Macaca mulatta: one gene and its partners. The protein of the gene in region 1 interacts with the protein of each later gene in a pairwise test. Links are inferred from orthologs where the notes say so. Each region holds a gene or a part of one and is shown on either strand. Other genes may lie near its edges.

The links.
Region 2: the proteins of CCDC33 (region 1) and ZBTB8A interact in a two-hybrid assay, tested with the Homo sapiens proteins (2 studies listed by BioGRID and IntAct). The two-hybrid records come from large-scale screens. The link is inferred for Macaca mulatta from reciprocal best matches to the Homo sapiens genes CCDC33 and ZBTB8A.
Region 3: the proteins of CCDC33 (region 1) and NDOR1 interact in a two-hybrid assay, tested with the Homo sapiens proteins (2 studies listed by BioGRID and IntAct). The two-hybrid records come from large-scale screens. The link is inferred for Macaca mulatta from reciprocal best matches to the Homo sapiens genes CCDC33 and NDOR1.
Region 4: the proteins of CCDC33 (region 1) and ABLIM3 interact in a two-hybrid assay, tested with the Homo sapiens proteins (2 studies listed by BioGRID and IntAct). The two-hybrid records come from large-scale screens. The link is inferred for Macaca mulatta from reciprocal best matches to the Homo sapiens genes CCDC33 and ABLIM3.

Annotation. Positions count from the first base shown.
Region 1 is NC_133412.1:52,149,498-52,154,129, reverse strand, and holds the start of CCDC33 (coiled-coil domain-containing protein 33), read right to left. Parts: upstream 3,133-4,632; 5' UTR 2,748-3,132; coding exon 2,727-2,747; intron 1-2,726.
Region 2 is NC_133406.1:208,334,451-208,338,888, reverse strand, and holds the start of ZBTB8A (zinc finger and BTB domain-containing protein 8A), read left to right. Parts: upstream 1-1,269; 5' UTR 1,270-1,335; intron 1,336-1,552; exon of another isoform or gene 1,553-1,594; 5' UTR 1,595-1,695; intron 1,696-4,438. UniProt on the Homo sapiens protein: May be involved in transcriptional regulation.
Region 3 is NC_133420.1:5,246,722-5,251,242, reverse strand, and holds the start of NDOR1 (NADPH-dependent diflavin oxidoreductase 1), read left to right. Parts: upstream 1-1,352; 5' UTR 1,353-1,389; coding exon 1,390-1,524; exon of another isoform or gene 1,525-1,846; coding exon 1,847-1,924; exon of another isoform or gene 1,925-3,294; intron 3,295-4,521. Other genes in the region: TMEM203 (transmembrane protein 203), read right to left, coding at 625-1,035. UniProt on the Homo sapiens protein: NADPH-dependent reductase which is a central component of the cytosolic iron-sulfur (Fe-S) protein assembly (CIA) machinery.
Region 4 is NC_133411.1:158,102,982-158,107,313, reverse strand, and holds the start of ABLIM3 (actin-binding LIM protein 3), read right to left. Parts: upstream 3,170-4,332; 5' UTR 3,009-3,169; intron 2,656-3,008; 5' UTR 2,569-2,655; coding exon 2,556-2,568; intron 1-2,555. UniProt on the Homo sapiens protein: May act as scaffold protein. May stimulate ABRA activity and ABRA-dependent SRF transcriptional activity.

The DNA of each region.
Region 1 (4,632 bases):
GCTGTGAGCACCGAAACCTGCCTGATTCCAGAGCTCAGCACTGTCAGCTACTCCACTGAGCCTGGCAAGCTTGGAAGCTGCTAACTCAAGCGCCCTTATCCAATCAGACAGGCAGCCTTGCCCTCAACAGGCCAGGATTAGCCAGCAGATGTTGCAGGGGAACTAGGACTGCCCATCACTCAGGGCGTTTTTGGATCCATGTGCTGGGGGGAAGGGCTGGGGTGAGAGGAGGAGGTAGGAACAACAGGGAGTTAATGATCCTTGAATTCAGCTCCTGTGGGTGGGGTGGGGGAGCTTAACTTGGTTCTGGTGGGGAGAGAGATGGAAGGAAACAAACTCTTCCACCCACGCCTCCCTTGCCACCCCTCTCCTCCAGCAGTCTGGGAGGCCTGAGGAGCTGAGCCCGGTTCTGCCCTCCAGAAGGACCCTGCATCTGAAAAGTCACACCAGCTGGAGAGGGGCTGGGCTGCGAGGCAGGGTGCCTGACTGCCCGGATCTGTCATTTAGGCGAGTTATTTGACTGCAGTGGGGCTATTTCCCAGCAGTTTCACAAGGACTTTCAGTTAAAAATGGTTCCCCATGTTCCTTCTAGCTTTGGCATCTAAACTTGCCTGGGAGTTACGGTGGTCAGGGGAAAGCTCTTTTTCAGGTGAGGAAGCACACTCAGAGAAAGTAAACCTCTTGCGTGAAAGCACACGGCTTAGCTAGTGGGGCCGGGGCTGGAACTGGAAGCAGGGTCCGTCTGACCCCACGCTCTTGCTGTCTCTGCTGTGCTCTGACCATGCTTCCTTGGATGTGGGTCCCTTCTCTGCTCCACAGTGGATACCCCGTTGAACTCATAACCTGAGTATCCATTGGTGGCAGCAAGAGGAATTGTGTTCTTTGGAGCAGAGAAGCATTCCCAAAGATGACACAAAAGTCAGAAATCATTAAAAAAGGATAGGTTTGATTACATTTAAAAAATCTATACAAACTTCTGTAATGATCCAAAATGCCCTGCAATACAAAGAAAAGGAAAAAAGGAGAAAATGTTTGCTATATATTTAAAAAAGGATTAATATCCGTAGTATACAAAGAGCACTGAAACCTATAAGCATTACCCAATTAAAAAAACATGAACTGGGTATTCACAAAAGAAGAAACACAAATATATATATTATATACATGATGAGCATCCTTTTTTTTTTTTTTTTTTTCTTTTGAGACGGAGTTTCGCTCTTTGTAGAGACAGGGTTTCAACATGTTGGCCAGGCTGGTCTCAAACTCCTGCCTTGGCCTCCCAAAGTGCTGGGATTACAGGAGTGAGACACTGTGCCTGGCCAACATCATTTTTTTTTTTTTTTTGAGACGGAATCTCACTCTGTTGCCTAGGCTGGAGTGCAGTGGAACGATCTCGGCTCACTGCAACCTTCATGTCCCAGGTTCAAACTATTCTCCTGCCTCAGCCTCCTGAGTAACTGGGATTACAGCTGTGTCCCACCAAACCCAGCTAATTTTTGTATTTTTAGTAGAGACGGGGTTTCACCATGTTGACCAGGCTGGTCTTAAACTTGCCTCAGCCTCGCAAAGTGCTGGGATTACAGGCGTGAGCCACCCCCCCGGCCATGATGAGCATCCTTATGGGCGATTCTACCCAGCTATCAAAGTGCTTCTCAAAGCTACCAATCAAAGCAACCTTGGCTCCTTCTCAGGACTCCCACGCACACTCCCTGGATCCCCAATCCCAGCTATGTGGGGCAGGTGGGGACCACCTGGCAGCTTAGGGTGCCAGATCAAACTGGTGCCTGGTCCTGAGTGTGTGGCATTACAGAAAGAGTCTTAATGGGGAGGGTGGAGTCTGCGGAGGTTCAGGGGCAGCTGTGGGCAGAGAACATCAGGAACCAGAGACATCAAAATCAAGGGTAATAAAGTGGAAATCACACTAAGGCCTGAGCACCCCCAGCTATTTGGCTTATTCAAGCTGAGTATAACTACAAAGAGGGTATTCCCCGTTTGCAAGTACCGATGTGCCTTTGGTCTCAGCTCCTTCTGGTATCCCTGTGGGTAACACCATCTAGGGCAGGGGCTCTGCCTTGCTAGTGAGAGGAAGGTAAGGGGTCCCTTGCACTGAACTGTTTATATCTCATTGCAATAAGATTCTAGTCCCTTCCTGGCAGAACCCTGCTGCTAGGCCACAGCTTTTTATTAAGCACCCACTATGTGCCAGGCACTGTTCTGAGTGCTGGGGATACAGAGATGAACAAAACACACAAAAATCCCTTCTCTCCAGAGACCCAAGCATCTGCGTTCCAGGGCAGGGGCCTAGGCCCCAGAAAATCAGGGCCAGGGCTAGGAGAGCATGGGGGCAGTGGGGGCATCAGGGCTGCCAAGGTAGCAGCCTGGGAATATCCTGGGAGATATTGGATGGGGGTAATGAACCATCTCAGTGGGCTCTCAGACTGTGTGACCCCAGCAACAAGAGGGCAGAAACAAGCAGGTAAGGGTGGTCAGCACTGACAACACCCGCAAGTACACTGCATTCCAGTTCCCACGTGGCCCAAGAGTATAGGGCAGCTAACCTGGGAGAGCCACAGAGACCGCCTCACTCCCCATTTCACAGCTGTGAAAACTGAGGCCCAGAGAAGGGAAGCTTTTGTCATGATTAAGGAACAAATGAAACTTTGAAGGAGAGACTTTGAAGGAGGGATGGATTCATGCAGGTGTGTGGCCCATTCCCCTGGCCTTACCTTTTTGTTTTTCAGTCCCATCCTCTTGAGGCCAGGAGTGTCTGGCCTTGTTTAACAATCTTGGGGACGAGTACCTGGTATAAGTGGGTGATCAGGCATCAGTCCTGCCCAGACAGTTGGCCTGGGCGTCTTGGAGTCCTTATGGTTAGTGGACAGTATGGAGGTCAATGTGGTCTCAGGGGTGCCACACACCAGCCCTGGGGTCTGGATGTTGGGGAAGGGGGAGGGTGGCCAGGTGGGGGCAGGTCCTCGATCTCTCAGCAGCAAGATGGTCTATGGGTGGAGGGGCCTAGGGGGTTGCAGGCCATGGCCAGTTGGACAGGGTCAGCAACGAGGCGATTGACTCTTGGCACTCCCAGGACGGTGGAGAGATGGGAGAGCCCTCTCTCTGCCCAGGCCTGGAAAAGCAGTGAGCTTTTCCACCTAGCTGGGTCACCTGGGCAACATTGTGTGATGTCACAGGGCAGGGCCAAAGTCACACAGGCACCTGTCCAGGTGCAGTGAGCTAGAACACGAATCTCTTTTCCCTATTCCTGGAGCTGTGTTCCACCTGCCGCCTGGCACTCAGGCCTCACCCTTCCTGTTCTTGGTGCCTCACATAGTCTCCACCGACCCTGTGGCATGGCCAGCCCCATGCCGCTCACACTGCAGCAAAAGAGGAAGCCAGACACTGCTCTCAAGAGCGTGGCAGCTTGATCGGTAAAACAGCTACTTCTGTTGAAGAATCTACCAGCCATCGTGCCTCTTTGGGTACCTATAGTCTTCCATTTATTTGATAATAATAAACACAAACTTCAAGAGGATGGTTTCTTCTGGGAGGGTGGGTGGGAAGATGGGGGAGAGAAGAGGGTAAGAGCATACATTCTAAACCTTTGGGTTTTTAGATTGGGTGGTCAGTTAATGGGAGTTCATTATATTATTGAAAATAAATTAGAATTAAACAACTAAAGAAAGCCATGATGGGCCAGTGATGGCACTAGAGTATGAACCAAAGATTGTGGTTCAGTTCTGAGTGCTGCAAGAAATTATTACGAAGACAAAGTATGTCTTTTAGTGGAGCATTTGCAGCACACCAGGCAGGGTTCTAAGTGCTTTTGGTGAGGTGAGATGGCAGAATGAGGAGAGGCTAGTCGTTGGCCTGGGGTGGGGAGTTGTTCTATAGAGAGGTGAGGTCTGAACTGGGCTTTGAAGGATCATCAGAAATCCTGGGCTAGAAGAGGAGGGATCTGGGGTGCTGGGTGGTGGTCAGAGGTGTTTGGGAGGCCCCTGTGGCCTGCCTCATTTCTACCTATTTTGGGCCCCATGTTGGAGATTCTTTTAATCTGGCCGAAGAGCAGGACCAGCCTGGCAGCCAGGAGGCAGAAGACTCCTGCTTTGCAGAGGCCTCCCAGCCTCCCTCTCTACCCCCCCTCCAGAAAGAGCAGCAGCGAGGATGTGGTTCTCCCCAGGTTAGAGACAGAAAAACTGAGGCTTTGTCTTTGATTAGAACTGAAAGGACCAGCCAAGACCACCCAGACACTGGTGGGAGATGGAAGTCGGGAACCCCACTCCTAATTTTCTCCCCGTCTAGGCCTGCCAAGAGTGGTACCGCTGGGGCTCTGGGACTGGGGGCCTGACCAGGAATGGCCTGGCTGTGAGCACTGTGCTTTATCTCCCTTGTGGGCCAGCATGTCCCAGCACAGTGTGTATGTGTGGAAAGGTCTCAGGGGCTGCTCCCCCAGTCTCCCTAAAGCACCTCTCTCCCAGCCTCTCAGGCCTGCTAAGTCTAGGAGGCTAGGCCAGCAGGGTGAGGGGGTGGGGAGCCATTGCTTCTTCTCCAGCAGCAGGACTAAAGAGGCAAGCCAGGTGCCTAGGAAGCAAACTTTAAGGAAGCACTCACTCTCAGGGCTATGGGAGCGCTCCGTTC
Region 2 (4,438 bases), on another chromosome or scaffold:
AGCAGAATGAAGATGAGGGACAAAACTGTCATTACCTCTTCCTTGCAACAAAGTTTTTTGTTTGTTTGTTTGTTTGTTTGAGATGGAGTCTTGCTCTGTCACCCATGCTGGAGTGCGGTGGCACGATCTCGGCTCACTGCAACCTCCACCTCCTGGATTCAAGCCATTCTCCTGGTTCAGCTGCCCCAGTAGCTCGGATTACAGGCACGCACCACTATGCCCAGCTACTTTTTATATTTAGTAGAAGGGTTGCACCATGTTGGCCAGGCTGGTCTCGAACTCCTGACCTCGTGATCCGCCTGCCTTGGCCTACCAAAGTGCTGAGATTACAGGCAAGAGCCACCGCGCCCGGCCACAACTAAGAGTTTATCACCAACCTGATGTGCTCTCTTGAGGAATAAGTTTGTGGAACTCTTTTGCATTAATCTTTAATTAAGGCTAAAATCAAACCTTTGGCTATAACCATGTCCAGGTCTTTCTGGGGGAATTCTCAATGGGGGGCGCTAGCAGAGTAATCTGAGTACATCCAATATACCTGATACCTAATGGTTTTCAAATATGTTTCTACTTACCTGTTCAGAAGGCAAGGAAACACAACTAAATAGCAAAGCACCTCTGCAGTGACACAGAAGTGACATTAAGAGACAATTGTGAAGATCTTGCATCCTCAAAATGCATAATTATTCCTGAAATCAAAGTTACAGACTGTCCAATATGACTGATTATGAACAGGAGAGGAATCCATTAAAAGCTAAACCCAAGTTTTGATAATTTGAACCTTTTTCCTCCAGTTTTACTATAACACAGTACTTTTCAGTACCTGACCCCAGCATAAGGAACTAGGAAACTAATTTATAGAAGTAATGCATCTATAGTAACAGTGAAAATCCACTGATTTACTATTTTAGCAAATGTATAACCTGATATCTGTACTCTAAATATTAGAGATGTAAATTTGTCAGAGGAAGCTTGGTATACAATGAATGCTTGTATTGGAAAAGACGGAACTTGCTGTTTTTACTAATTTTGTATTTCTCTGGACTTAAACTAGGAATTATGTTCTCTTAGCTTCTCTGGGTTTTCCTCTTCAAATGAAATGCTTCTGACCTGTAGAGGTTTAGAAAAGGTTATCCTCAACTAAAACAACTGCTTCAATACAAGAGAAAACTCTGTGGAAATCTTTTGCATTTGACGTTGCTAAACTTAAGTACAATAATGTCACATGTACTTATACAGTAATTGTGGGCACGCCTAAGTCCCTCCCTCTTTCCTAAACCAAATTCCCCAGATCCTAGAAATCCAGCCCTTCTGCCCTCCGGAGGCGCCTTTCCCAACGTAAAGTACAATTTTAAATTTCAGCTCCTGACTAAAATCATGATCCGCAGTCAACTGCTAGAGAATCTGGGCACCCCGGTGCCTCTGGAGCGTGCAGCGGGTGTGGGCAAGGGCAGGGGGAGTGGGCGAAGCTGCTGGTTGGTGCCTGAAATCTGTGCGTTGCCCCTTTAATTGTGTCCCCAGCCCTCGGGCGTTTCTGTCCAACGCCCACGTCAGCAAATACCTTTTGTTTCTCTCACGTTGGGGCTACTTGTTTTAGGGCGCAAAGGAACGGCCTCGAAAGGGGGTCCTTCCCCAGCCGAGAACCAAGAATCTTCCCCCGGCCCGCGCGCGCGACCGGCCGGTGCGCCGCGGCCCGCGGTAAGTGGCGGCGCGCGGCGCCGGCGGAGGGCGGGCGGGCGTCGGGGCTGCCCGGGACCCGCCGCGAGCCTGGCCGCGGGCGGAGGCGCCGCGGGCTCTCACGGCCCGGGCGGCGGCGGTGCTGAGATGCGGGCCCTGGGCGCGCCTCACCAAGACGTCCCCGGGCCGGGAGCGCGGCGGGAGGCGCCGAGGCGAGCGGGCGCCATTTGCAGCCCGGGGCGCAGCGGCGGCGGCGGCGGCGGCGCCGGCTCCGAGGGGCTGTGGGCGGCCACGGAGGACGCGCGGGCGGCGGCGGCGGGCCGAGCCCGGGGCGGCGGCGGGCGTTGGTGGGCACCGGCTCCCGGCCGCCCCTCCCCGCGCCCGGCCGCGCCGCCCAGCCCGCCAGGCCGGCCCCTCCTGCGCGCCCGGGAGGGGCTGCGGGACAATGGCCGCGCCGTCGCCGCCCGCGCCCGCCTAGCCGCCCGGCCCGGCCCGGGGAAAGGCGGGAAGGCGCGCGGAGCCTCCTGGCGGCGGCGGCGGGAAGGCGGCGGGGACGGCGCCGGGCGTGTCTGGAGCCGTCGAGCGCCGCGGACTCCGGAGGGGCTCGGGCTGCGCGGCGCAAAAACGGGCGGCCGCCGGGGGGGCGCGCGAGGAGGGCAGGGCCGGGGCCGGAGCCGGAGCCTCTGCGGGCGCGGCCAGGGGCGCTGCCGGTGAGCCTGGCTCCCAGGGCAGTAGCCCGAATTTCTCGGTACAGCCTCCATCCTTGGTTTTATGTCAAGATGCGACATCTGGGCTTAGAAAACCGAGGGCTAACTCACCGCGCCTAACCAATGTTGAGCTCCAACTATTTGCTTCTGGACGGAACCGTACATGCTCATCTCTACCCATGCTGACCGCCTCTTTTGTGAGTTAGTCAGCGGCTTGTTCCCTTCCCCTTCAGATGCGCTTATTTATCGCTGATTGTTCCAATGGCCCTACTCCACATCATTCTGAGACGCGTTTGGAAGCGGTAGATTTACACACACACCTGGTGGGCTTCTAACCACACGTCAGTATCACTATGCTTGATAAACCTCTATATTTGCACAACTTTAAATGGAGTGCTTTCACCTATATGAATTATTTCACTTAATTTCACATAAAACAACCACTTAGGCTGACGGTAATTCCACTTTGCAAATGAGGGAACACGTGTGAAGCATGGCGTTTCACCTCTAGGCCAGGGTGACATAGCCACCCAGGACCTCCTGTTCCCGTCCTGCCTTCCCTCCTAAGGTACCTCCAGAGGAGTCTTTAGAAGGGCCAATCTTACACAGCGCTTCCCTGCACTGAAAACCTTAACTGATCTTTTTCAGGAACGCCTCCAAAATCCCCAGCAAGCTTCTGCTCCAGTCTTAATCTCCTCCATGCCTCAGGTATGGATGCATTTGTGGACTGGAGCAAGAGCCCCTCACTGATAAGCAGGGATCAGATGTCTTTATTCCTGGGAACCTCTCTGGCCACACAAGTGGCAACTGGGAAGTGAGAATCTGGCTTAGGGCCCTTGACCAAATGGGTGTCTGGGTGGATTGTGCTCAAAAATGTCAGCAGGAGGCATAATGAGTAGGGACTCCAGGAAGGAGGCCAAGCCACTAACCCTTATCTCCAAGCCCTGAAATCACCAGCTTTGCTGTTGATAATGATTTGAGGCCATGAAAAACTTTGTAAGATAGAGTAATATTGATTCATCCTGTATCATTTAAATCTAATTTTTAGATACAACTATGTCTAATAGATTTAACTCAGTGACACAATGATATGTTAATCATATTTAAAGGATTTGATGTGTTTGATTCCCTTGAATGAAGCTTTTGTTACTTTTGTGCTCAAAATTGGTCAGTGGTTCCCCATCTTACGCAGTTTAAAAGCCAAAAGCTCCATAATAGTCTATGCAGCCTTACAGCATCTGGTCTCACTATGTCCTACTTCTCTCATGATTTGCTTTCCCTTTCTGACTCCATATCCCATTGCTTCCCCGCTGCTCACCTCAGGGCCTTTGCGCTTGCTTTTCCCTTTGCCTGAAATACTGTTTCCCCAGACACCCACATGACTCTTACTTCCTTTGGACTTTACCCAAATACCATCTTCTCAATGAGGCTTTCCCCAACTATAGTTTTGATTCTCTTAAGTGTTTTTATTCTAAATCTTTTCTGTCTCATGCCATTTGTGCAGCTATAAAAATACTTTGGGACTGGGTAATTACACAGAACAGAAATTTATTTCTCACACTTCTGGAGGCTGGGAAGTCCAGGCAGTTTGGTGCCTAGTGAGGGCTGCTCTTTGCTTCCAAGATGGCACCGCGTTGCTGCATCCTCTGGATGGGAGGACTGCTGTGTCTTCACGTGGCAGAAGGGATAGAAGGGCAAGAGGGGCCAAACTCACTCCCTCAGGTCCTTTTATAAGGGCGTTAATTCCATCCATGAGGGCAGAGCCTTCGTGGCCCAATCACCTCCTAAAGGTGATACTGTTGCAATAGGGATGAGTTTTTTTTTTTTTTTTTTTTTTTTGAGACAGAGTCTTGCTCTGTCGCCCAGGCTGGAGTGCAGTGGCGCTATCTCGACTCACTGCAAGCTCCGCCTCCCGGGTTCACGCCATTCTCCTGCTTCAGCCTCTCCAGTAGCTGGGGCTACAGGTGCCCACCACCACGCCTGGCTAATTTTTTTGTATTTTTTAGTAGAGATGGGGTTTCACCGTGTTAGCCAGGATGGTCTTGATCTCCTGACCT
Region 3 (4,521 bases), on another chromosome or scaffold:
GAGCTCTTTTCGTGGGCAAGAGATAACCAGACAGGACCCTAATCGTGCTCTTATTCAACATTCTTCTCTCTCTGCCTAGACTGGAATAAAAAGCCAATCTCTCGTGGCACAGGGGAGATACAAGCTGGTTTACATTTGATCTAACAAAGGCATCTACCGAAGTCTGGTCTGGATGGACGGCACAGGGAGCTCTCAGGTCAGCGCTGCTGGTTGGAGGACATTCCTGAGTCCAGCTTTGCAGCCTCTGTGCAACAGTACTTTCCCAGGATCCACAGGAAATACTCAGAGTCCACCGGGACATTTTACTTATATTCAGCTTCCAAGTGTCAGAGGGGTTCAGGACTGCCTGGCCTGGGGGCCTCCTCAGGACCTCAATTCAGGATTATCTACTCAAAGCATTAAATAAAAAGAAATACATTTTCAGGATGAAGGCTGCTCTTTTAAACCCTGCTGAAGAAACCATTTCAGGCAGGATTGAAATAGGAAAACCGGGCACTCAGTTCGGCGCAAGCAGGAGTTGCCTTTAGACTAGAGAGCCTCTCCTCCGGTGCGGCGCAAGTAGGGCCTCGGCTTGAGGTCAGCATTCTAGCCGTCCAGCGCTCCCTCTCCGGCACCTCGGTGAGGCTAGTTGACCCGACAGGCGCGGATCATGAGCAGCTGCAGGAGAATGAAGACCGGGGACGTAATGAGGCCGAACCAGAGCTCCCGAGTCTGCTCCGCCAGCTTCTGGCACAACAGCATCTCGAAGACGAACTTGAGACTCAGGACCGTGAGGACCCAGAAAAGGCGGAGCACCGCCAGCCGCTTCTCTCCATCCTGGAAGAGGCGCACGGACACGATGGTGGTGAAGTAGGTGCTTAGCCCGTCAGCGGCGAAGAAAGGCACGAACACGTTCCACCAGGAGAGGCCCGGGACCAGGCCATCCACACGCAGTGCCAGCAGCACAGAGAACACCAGCAGGGCCAGCAGGTGCACGAAGATCTCGAAGGTGGCGAAGCCTAGCCACTGCACCAGCTCCCGGAGCGAGAAGAGCATCGCGCCCGTTGAGCGCGGGCCGGGACCCGGCCGAGCGTGCCACCCGCGGGGCTGCGTCTCCTCTCCCCGTGGCCCTCGCCCGCGCCTGCCGCCGCTGCTGCGAGCGAGAGGCAGAGAGCGGCCCCGCCACCCCCAGCCCTCGGCCCTGGTGCGCCGGCAATGCCCTGGCCCCGACCCGGGACTCAACCCTGGCCGCCGGTGGACGCCCGCCTCGATCGGACGCCATGCCCCACCGGGCGCGTCCCTAGTGCGTCACTTCCGGTCGACGGCGGAAGGCGGAGCGGTCCCTGTATCCCGGCCGGCGGGATCTACCTTCTAGTTCTTAGTCTCCGACCTGGAGCCGGGCGCGTCCAGATGCCGAACCCGCAGTTTCTGGTGCTCTTTGGCAGCCAGACAGGCACGGCTCAGGATGTGTCGGAGAGACTGGGTCGCGAGGCCCGGCGCCGGCGGCTTGGCTGCCGGGTGCAGGCCCTGGACTCCTACCCGGTGGTGAGGGCTAGCTAGGGCCTCGGCGTGGGGGACAAACAGGCCTGGCGTGCCCGCTTCTCGGGGTCATCGACCCAAAAGGCGTCGCATTATCTCTGAGAGCGGGTCTTTCCCTTATGGCGGATTTAGGGAAAGGGGAGGCTTGGGAAGAGGAGTTCAGTTTAGCACCTGGAGGAGGTTGGAACCTGAAAGAGAAGACGGTCTGGCCGCTCACATAAATTCCTCTGCCCTGTCAGCCTGAGTGAAGGAGAAGGGGGTCGAGTTTTGGGAAGGACGCCCAGTCCTTACAGCCGGAGGTCTTACGTGTGTGTGTCTTTTTGTTGAGGTGAATCTGATTAACGAGCCCCTGGTGATATTTGTTTGTGCAACTACAGGCCAAGGAGACCCCCCTGACAACATGAAGGTAAGGCTGGCCTGATGTGGCTCCTCAGATCCCTGCCCTCGACCCTCATCCCGTTTTCATTGCCTGGAGTCTAGGTGCAGTAAATAGCTCTCCTCTATCTCATGCATCTTCAGAGGTGGATTTGAGAGGACGTCCCTGAGTGGAGCTGGGGGCTCCAGTTGCTCTCTCTAATAAACGCTTCATAGCCACCAAATAGCCTTATTATCCATTTTAACCTTTCTTATCTTTCCAGGGCTATCTATATGTGCATCTAGTCTGGATCTTCTGTGTATTTCTAGACTGTATGACTCTCAGGGAACGTTGCTGAATTCTCTGACCATCTTTTAGGCACATATTCCATTCTTGGCACAGTCTGGTGCTGGGGATCCCGCTGTGAACCCAGTGCCATAGTTCTGTCCTGGCAGAGTTCATACTGTAGCAGAAGCACCTAATGGGCAATGACAGTGCCAGCGAACACCTGCAGCTGGGGAAAGTAGCATATGTCACAGGAGCACTGATAAGGGGCATCGAGCCTTATCTCACCCAGCCTTGGGGCCCAGGCAGAGGTTTCTGGAAGAAAAGAGTGTAAACTGAGTCACCGAAGAATGCGTGAGGGCTAGTCAGGCACCAAGAAAGAAGGAGCAGTCTGTGCAGAGGAAAAAGATTATTTGGCTTGTGTGAAAAGTGAAAAGCAGCTCAGGGTGGCCAAGCTGAGGAGTGCACTGGGGCAAGAGGGGAGGAGAAGAGAGGCAGGAAGCCAGGCCCAGTCCAAAGAGCCTGAGTAACCACGGCAAGGCAGATGGGCTTGAAATGAAGGGTTGTCGGAACTGTAGGGGTGACCCAGTCATGTTCCTACACTAGTAAGACCGCCACTGGTCAGCAGGAGAGCAAGAATAATGCCATGAGATGCACAGGACAGGCAGGAGATGCTACCAGTCTGAGCTAAGGTGGTGGCAGAAGATAGAAGTGGACGCGTTGCACGGGTGTTAGGAAGAGAGAGACCCCAGGACATGGAACAGACTCAAGAGGTCAAGCAGAATCAAGACAGGGATTTGGGCTCTGGATGGATGGTGGTTCCATCCACAGAAATAAGAGAACACGGTGGGAATAGGTGGTTGTGCAGGAAGGGAACCTGGAGACATTGAAGTGGAGAAGCGCAGTAGGACTAGCGCTCCAAGGAAGATCCTGGGGCACAGGGAGGTAGGTGTTAACATAGCCACAATACAGAAGTGTGAGAAGAGGAAGCTCTTCTCTCCCTACAGGACAGGCTGCCCAGAACGTTAGAGCCCAGGAGGGCAGGAGAGTGACCAAGCAGCTAGAAGAGAGGGTGCAGCATCCCCAAGGAGAGGCCTGAGGAGTGGGTGTTCCAGAAAGGGCTCCAGCATGTAAAGCTGCACAGAAGTCGAGTAAGATAAAGCCTGAGAGGAATCCATGGGATTTCTTGGCAAAGGGATTGTTGGTGATATCAGCAAGAGCAGCTTCAGTGGTTCGTGGGGAGACAAGCCAGGTTACAGGAGATCAGCAACTCAGTGAGTGAGTGGAGAGCATCTTTTTTTTCTTTTTTCTTTTTTTTTTTTTTGAGACTGAGTCTCGCTCTGTCGCCCAGGCTGGAGTGCAGTGGAGCGATCTCGGCTCACTGCAAGCTCTGCCTCCCGGCTTCACACCATTCTCCTGCCTCAGCCTCCCGAGTAGCTGGGACTACAGGCGCCCATCACCTCGTCCAGCTAATGTATTTTTAGTAGAGATGGGGTTTCACCATGTTGGCCAGGATGGTCTCGATCTCCTGACCTTGTGATCCGCCTGCTTCGGCCTCCTAAAGTGCTGGGATTACAGGCGTGAGCCACCGCGCCCGGCCGAGAGCATCTTTTAAGAATGTCTTGAGTGTGACCCAGGTGTAGTGGCTCATGCCTGTAATCTCAGCACTTTGGGAGGCTGAGGCAGGCGAATCACGAGGTCAGGAGTTCGAGACCAGCCTGGCCAACATGGTGAAACCCGTCTCTACTAAAATTACAACGATTAGCTGGGCATGGTGGTGCATGCCGGTAATCTGAGCTACTCGGGAGGCTGAGGCAGGAGAATTACTTGAACCAGAGAGTCAGAGGTTGAAGTGAGCCGGGATCGGCCACTGCACTCCGACCTGGGCAACAGAACAAGGCCCTGTCTCAAAAAAAAAGATGGGAGAAACCTGGCATGTTTTCTGTTTTTTGTTTTTTGTTTTAAGACGGAATCTTGCTCTGTTGCCTAAGTTGGAGTGCAGTGGCACGATCTCGGCTCACTGCAAGCTCTGCCTCCTGGGTTCACACCATTCTCCCGCCTCAGCCTCCCGAGTAGCTGGGACTACAGGTGCCTGCCACCATGCCCGGCTAATTTTTTGCAATTTTTTAGGAGAGACGGGGTTTCACCGTGTTAGCCAGCATGGTCTCGATCTCCTGACCTCGTGATCTGCCCGCCTCAGCCGCCCAAAGTGCTGGGATTACAGGCGTGAGCCACCGCGCTCGGCCGAAACTCAGCATGTTTAATTGCTGGCAGGGGAGAGACAGGAGAAAGAGGCTGAAGACTTGAGTAGGGACGGCAGGGGATGTGCAGTGGCTAGAGAGAGAGCTGAGCGTAGGTCAAGG
Region 4 (4,332 bases), on another chromosome or scaffold:
TAAATAAATAGAAGTGAAAGAAAAACTAAGCAAGAGTTTCTATTAGGGATAGTATCAGGCATGAGGATCAAGTTAAGAATTTCACATCTCAAAGGGGAGATTTTTGCTTGGTCAGGTCACCCAAGGACCCCCTGCCAATGCCCTATCCATGCCACCCTATGACTCTGTTACTCCTTTTCTTGTGAGGTCTGATGTCTACTCTCTGTATTTGCAGCCTCTTGGGTTTGGGAGGTACCTCCATGATGATGGAGTTCAGCCCCCAAAGTTCTGCACTTGCTGTGTCCCCCAGGTGTCTGTTTAGAGAAGCATTTCCTCTTAGGGGGAACCCTGGGGGCTTCCGGGGCTGCTGAGTCATTCTCCTCTGTTCATTTTCCACTACTGCAAAATACACACACTCTCCCTGCTTATAAAAAGTAGTGGCATTTTTGCCAGTCAGTATTCAACTCTATTGGTGCTTGTTTTCCTTCCTTCCTTCCTTCCTTCCTTCCTTCCTTCCTTCCTTCCTTCCTTCCTTCCTTCCTTCCTTCCTTTTTTTTCTCTCTCTCTCTCTCTTTCTCTCTCTCTCTTGCTTTCTTGCTTTCAGAAGGACAGTCTCTGTTTTCTTCTTTCAGGAATACTCAGTGTTACTAATAGGACAAGAGTTCCTTAGCATTCCAGAGAGAGAAAAGGGCAGAGTCAGTTGCCGGTTTCTCTTCATAGTTCCTTGAAAAATAGATGAGCCATCTTTCTCTTCTGCCACTTAGTGGGAAAGGACTCTCATAAATACATTTTTTTCCCCCTAGAGATAGTGAGAAGTGACAGGCAACTCACATCTTTATTTGCCTGAAAACATGCAAATGCAAACATGTGACCCACTAGCTGATAGGGGCTGCAGGATTTTCCTCTTTTCCTGAGCCTGGTATGAAGCCAAAACACCATTCCAGCCTGTCAAAATCAAAAGGCAAAATTCTTTGGCTGTAAGAGGCAGAGAGAGTCCAGCCACACTTGCTAGCTAAGCATAGATATGCAATACACAAAGGAAGACAGCAGAGAGATGAATCATACAAATATGTAGTAAATAAATATATTTAATTTTCATCTCAGTAGTTTTTGCTTTGTTGTTGTTTTTTTCTCTTCTATGCCAACAGTCTTGAAATGGAGGTGGGGGCGGGGTGGAGTGTGTGAAGAAATAGGTTTTGGCTGGATACAGCTTCAATAAGGTCTTGATAGTTCTGGCCTTGTTGCTCAGCTCTAGCTTTTTAAGAAAAAAAACTTGTAGATTCTTAGATTAGAAACCTTTCTTTTATTATTATTATTATTATTATTATTTGAGACAGAGTCTCACTCTGTTGCCCAGGCTGGAGTGCAGTGGCACGATCTCAGCTCACTGCAACCTCTGCCTCCCAGGTTCAAGCAATTCTCCTGCCTCAGCCTCTTGAGTAGCTGGGATTACAGGTCCATGCCACCACGCCTGGCTAATTTTTGTATTTTTAGTAAAGACAGGGTTTCACCATGTTGGTCAGGCTGGTCTCGAACTCCTGACCTTGTGATCCACCTGCCTCTGCCTCCCAAAGTGCTGGGATTACAGGCATCTGCCACGGTGCCTAGCCGATTAGAAGGCTTTCTAATTCAACCTCTCTCATCATACAGAAGAGCAGTCTGAGATGCAGAGAGGGGACTGATAACGAAGTCATAGACCCAGGAAAGTGACTGTTTGTAGGGGTTCTCTGGTTCAACAGCCCCATGCGATGCTGGAATAACCTAGACAGGCCAAGCTGACAAGAGGGCGGGAGAGTGAGTCTGGAACCGAGACATGCCCTCCCAGGTCACAGCGCTACATTGAAGAGAAATAGACTATGCCTTCTTGAATTTCGGACTGCATTCTCAGTAGCTGAGGCCCTACCTGGCAGCAAAATATCTGGTCCTGGCTCTGCAAGCAGTTGTTGCCTCTGGCATGTTAGAGCCCTTGGCCAAAGGGTTGTTCCTGTCCTCTTGTTCTCAAGGATAACTAACCAGCCTGCAAGTACATAGAGAAACCAGTGCCTGGGCCCACCGGGCTGCAGGCACTCCGGAGCTGGATCTTTCACAATCTCCAGACCCAAAGGTGGCCTGGTGATGATTTGTTTATCAAACTGCGGTTTCCCAGCCCACTGCCTGCCCACACCCACCTACCCTCCCGCCTGCCCACAGGCCAGCTTCCCTGCTCTTCCCACCTCTGGGACAGGCAGTGCCTTCCAGATGTGTGCAGGGAGGTCTCCTCAGAGCCCCCACAGTCAGACAATGGCCACACACTGCTTCCTAGGCCTTCCCAGGCAGTGCTAGAAGGAAGACAAGCAGCCTTCCCAGCAGAGGCGACCGGAGCCGCTGATAAAATATTGGCAAAATTATCACGAAAAACCAGAGTCATGAAGCTATCCCTCTGCCAAGGAGAACGGAAAGCACCAAAAAGGAGCCTGGGGGTCATGTGTCCAGAGATGCCAGGCTTCCTTCCTCTTTCCAGGCAGCCCGAGCGCAGGCTCCCTCACCTCCCGCCCCCACCCCTGTTCCCATGGCAAAGGAGAGGAGGATCCACTTACTGCTCGTGTTCATGGTGATGTCTTTGCACTGGGTCTTTCATTCAATACGGAGGCCCCGGCTGCTTTTTAAATCTTCAGTTCTTCGAACCTCACTCATCACCTGGGGGGTGAAAAGGCAGTCCAGTGCCAGCTCTGTATCCTCAGGTGCTCTCTCTCCTCTGCTGTCCCCTCTCTGTCTGGGCTGTAGCCCCTGGCCTTGAAGGCGCGTGGACTAATAGGCGCAGGTGAGAGCAAGGAGGAAGAGGCGGCAGGACACCGGCGCCCCGGTCCTCCTGCTCCTCAGATCGGAATCCCGGGCAGAAGTGGGGTTGCCAGCGCCTGCTCGCGCGCACCCCGGACTATTCCTGCCCAGAGGCTCCGGAGCCCAAAGGGGGTGTGGACCACAGGGAGGCAGGGCGGGGGCAGCGCGTCCCCGCCCGGCCTCAAGGAGCAGCGACCCGCCCCGGAACCCACCTCTCGGCCAGTGTCGGGAGCCAGAGGCCCCTGCCCCGGCCCCTGCGACTGATTCATGAATCCTGGTCCTCGTCTGGGGTCTCGAATTCCAGGGCTAGCAATGCGAAATAGGAGAGCTCGACATCCATGATGCGGGCTCGCGGGTTGGCAGCGCGGGGGGCGCGGCCGCTCGCTGCTGCCACCTGCTGGACGCACCGGCGCGTGTCCGAAGCCCCGCCCCGCCGGGCTTCTGCCTGGGCCCTGGGGTGTGATGGGGGATGGACGAGACCCTGTGTCCTGGGACCAACGAGGGGGTGCTTGAGCGCTTGTTTTCCCTCCCTCGATCCTGGGGTCTAAGGGCTCGACAATGATAGGAAAAGAAACATCATTAGAAGGGGCTGTGAAGGAAAGCCTGGCTTTGCAGGAAGACAGTTTCCATCCGGCCCTGCTGCTGGCAAGCTTGGTGCAGTCTAGGCTCAAGTCGGTCACTACCGTCGCTGCCTCATCTTTCTCAACTGTGAATATGGCGTCTGCACAAGTGGATGATACGTAAGGGGCTCCTTCAGCCTCCCAGCATTTATATCCCCTCTTCCCTCACTGATTCCCTTTATCCCCTATCACTGATTCATCATTAGAATTGCTTATTACCTCTCTTCCCCACGAGAATGTTAGCTCCACGAAAGAATGGATCTGTCCGTAGGGTTCACTACAGGCCCCCAATACCTAGAACAGGGCCTGCCATATAGTAGCTACCAATGAATATTTGTTGACAGATCAACCCAGACATTTTCTGGGTTTAATATTACACAGTCCTAAGAGTAGATTGCCTAGGCGCTCCACCCTGAAACACTTCCCCATCTGAGGAGAACAGCAGGTATGTGGCCTCACAGGTCCACCCTAGTTTTTGTATGGCCAACTAACTCTTCCCCCAGGTTTTTTGTTTTTTTTTTTTAATTATATCTTATAGGTGTGTATTGTAGAAGTTTATATTCCAAAGTTTTTTGGTCACAGTTGATTCAGTGGGGTAGGGCTCTTGACATTCCTGTGACTACTTACTCTGTCACTTTCTGAACCTAATTCATGATCATAGAAGTGTGACTTTTGAGTGCTGAAAAACAAGACTGAGAGGGTACATGATCCTTCTCTATAGCATGGCTCCAATTAGAGCATGTGCAGACTCAAAAGGCTGTGAACACTCACAGCCCCAGCTTAGACAAGGAAACAGGGGGTCAGAGAGGCTGGGCAACGTGGCCTAGGACACACAGCATCTTGTGGCGGAACCGGACCAGATCTTCTAACTTCTAGCTTGATCCTGTGTGAGAGTGGCTCAGTGCACTAGAGTCTG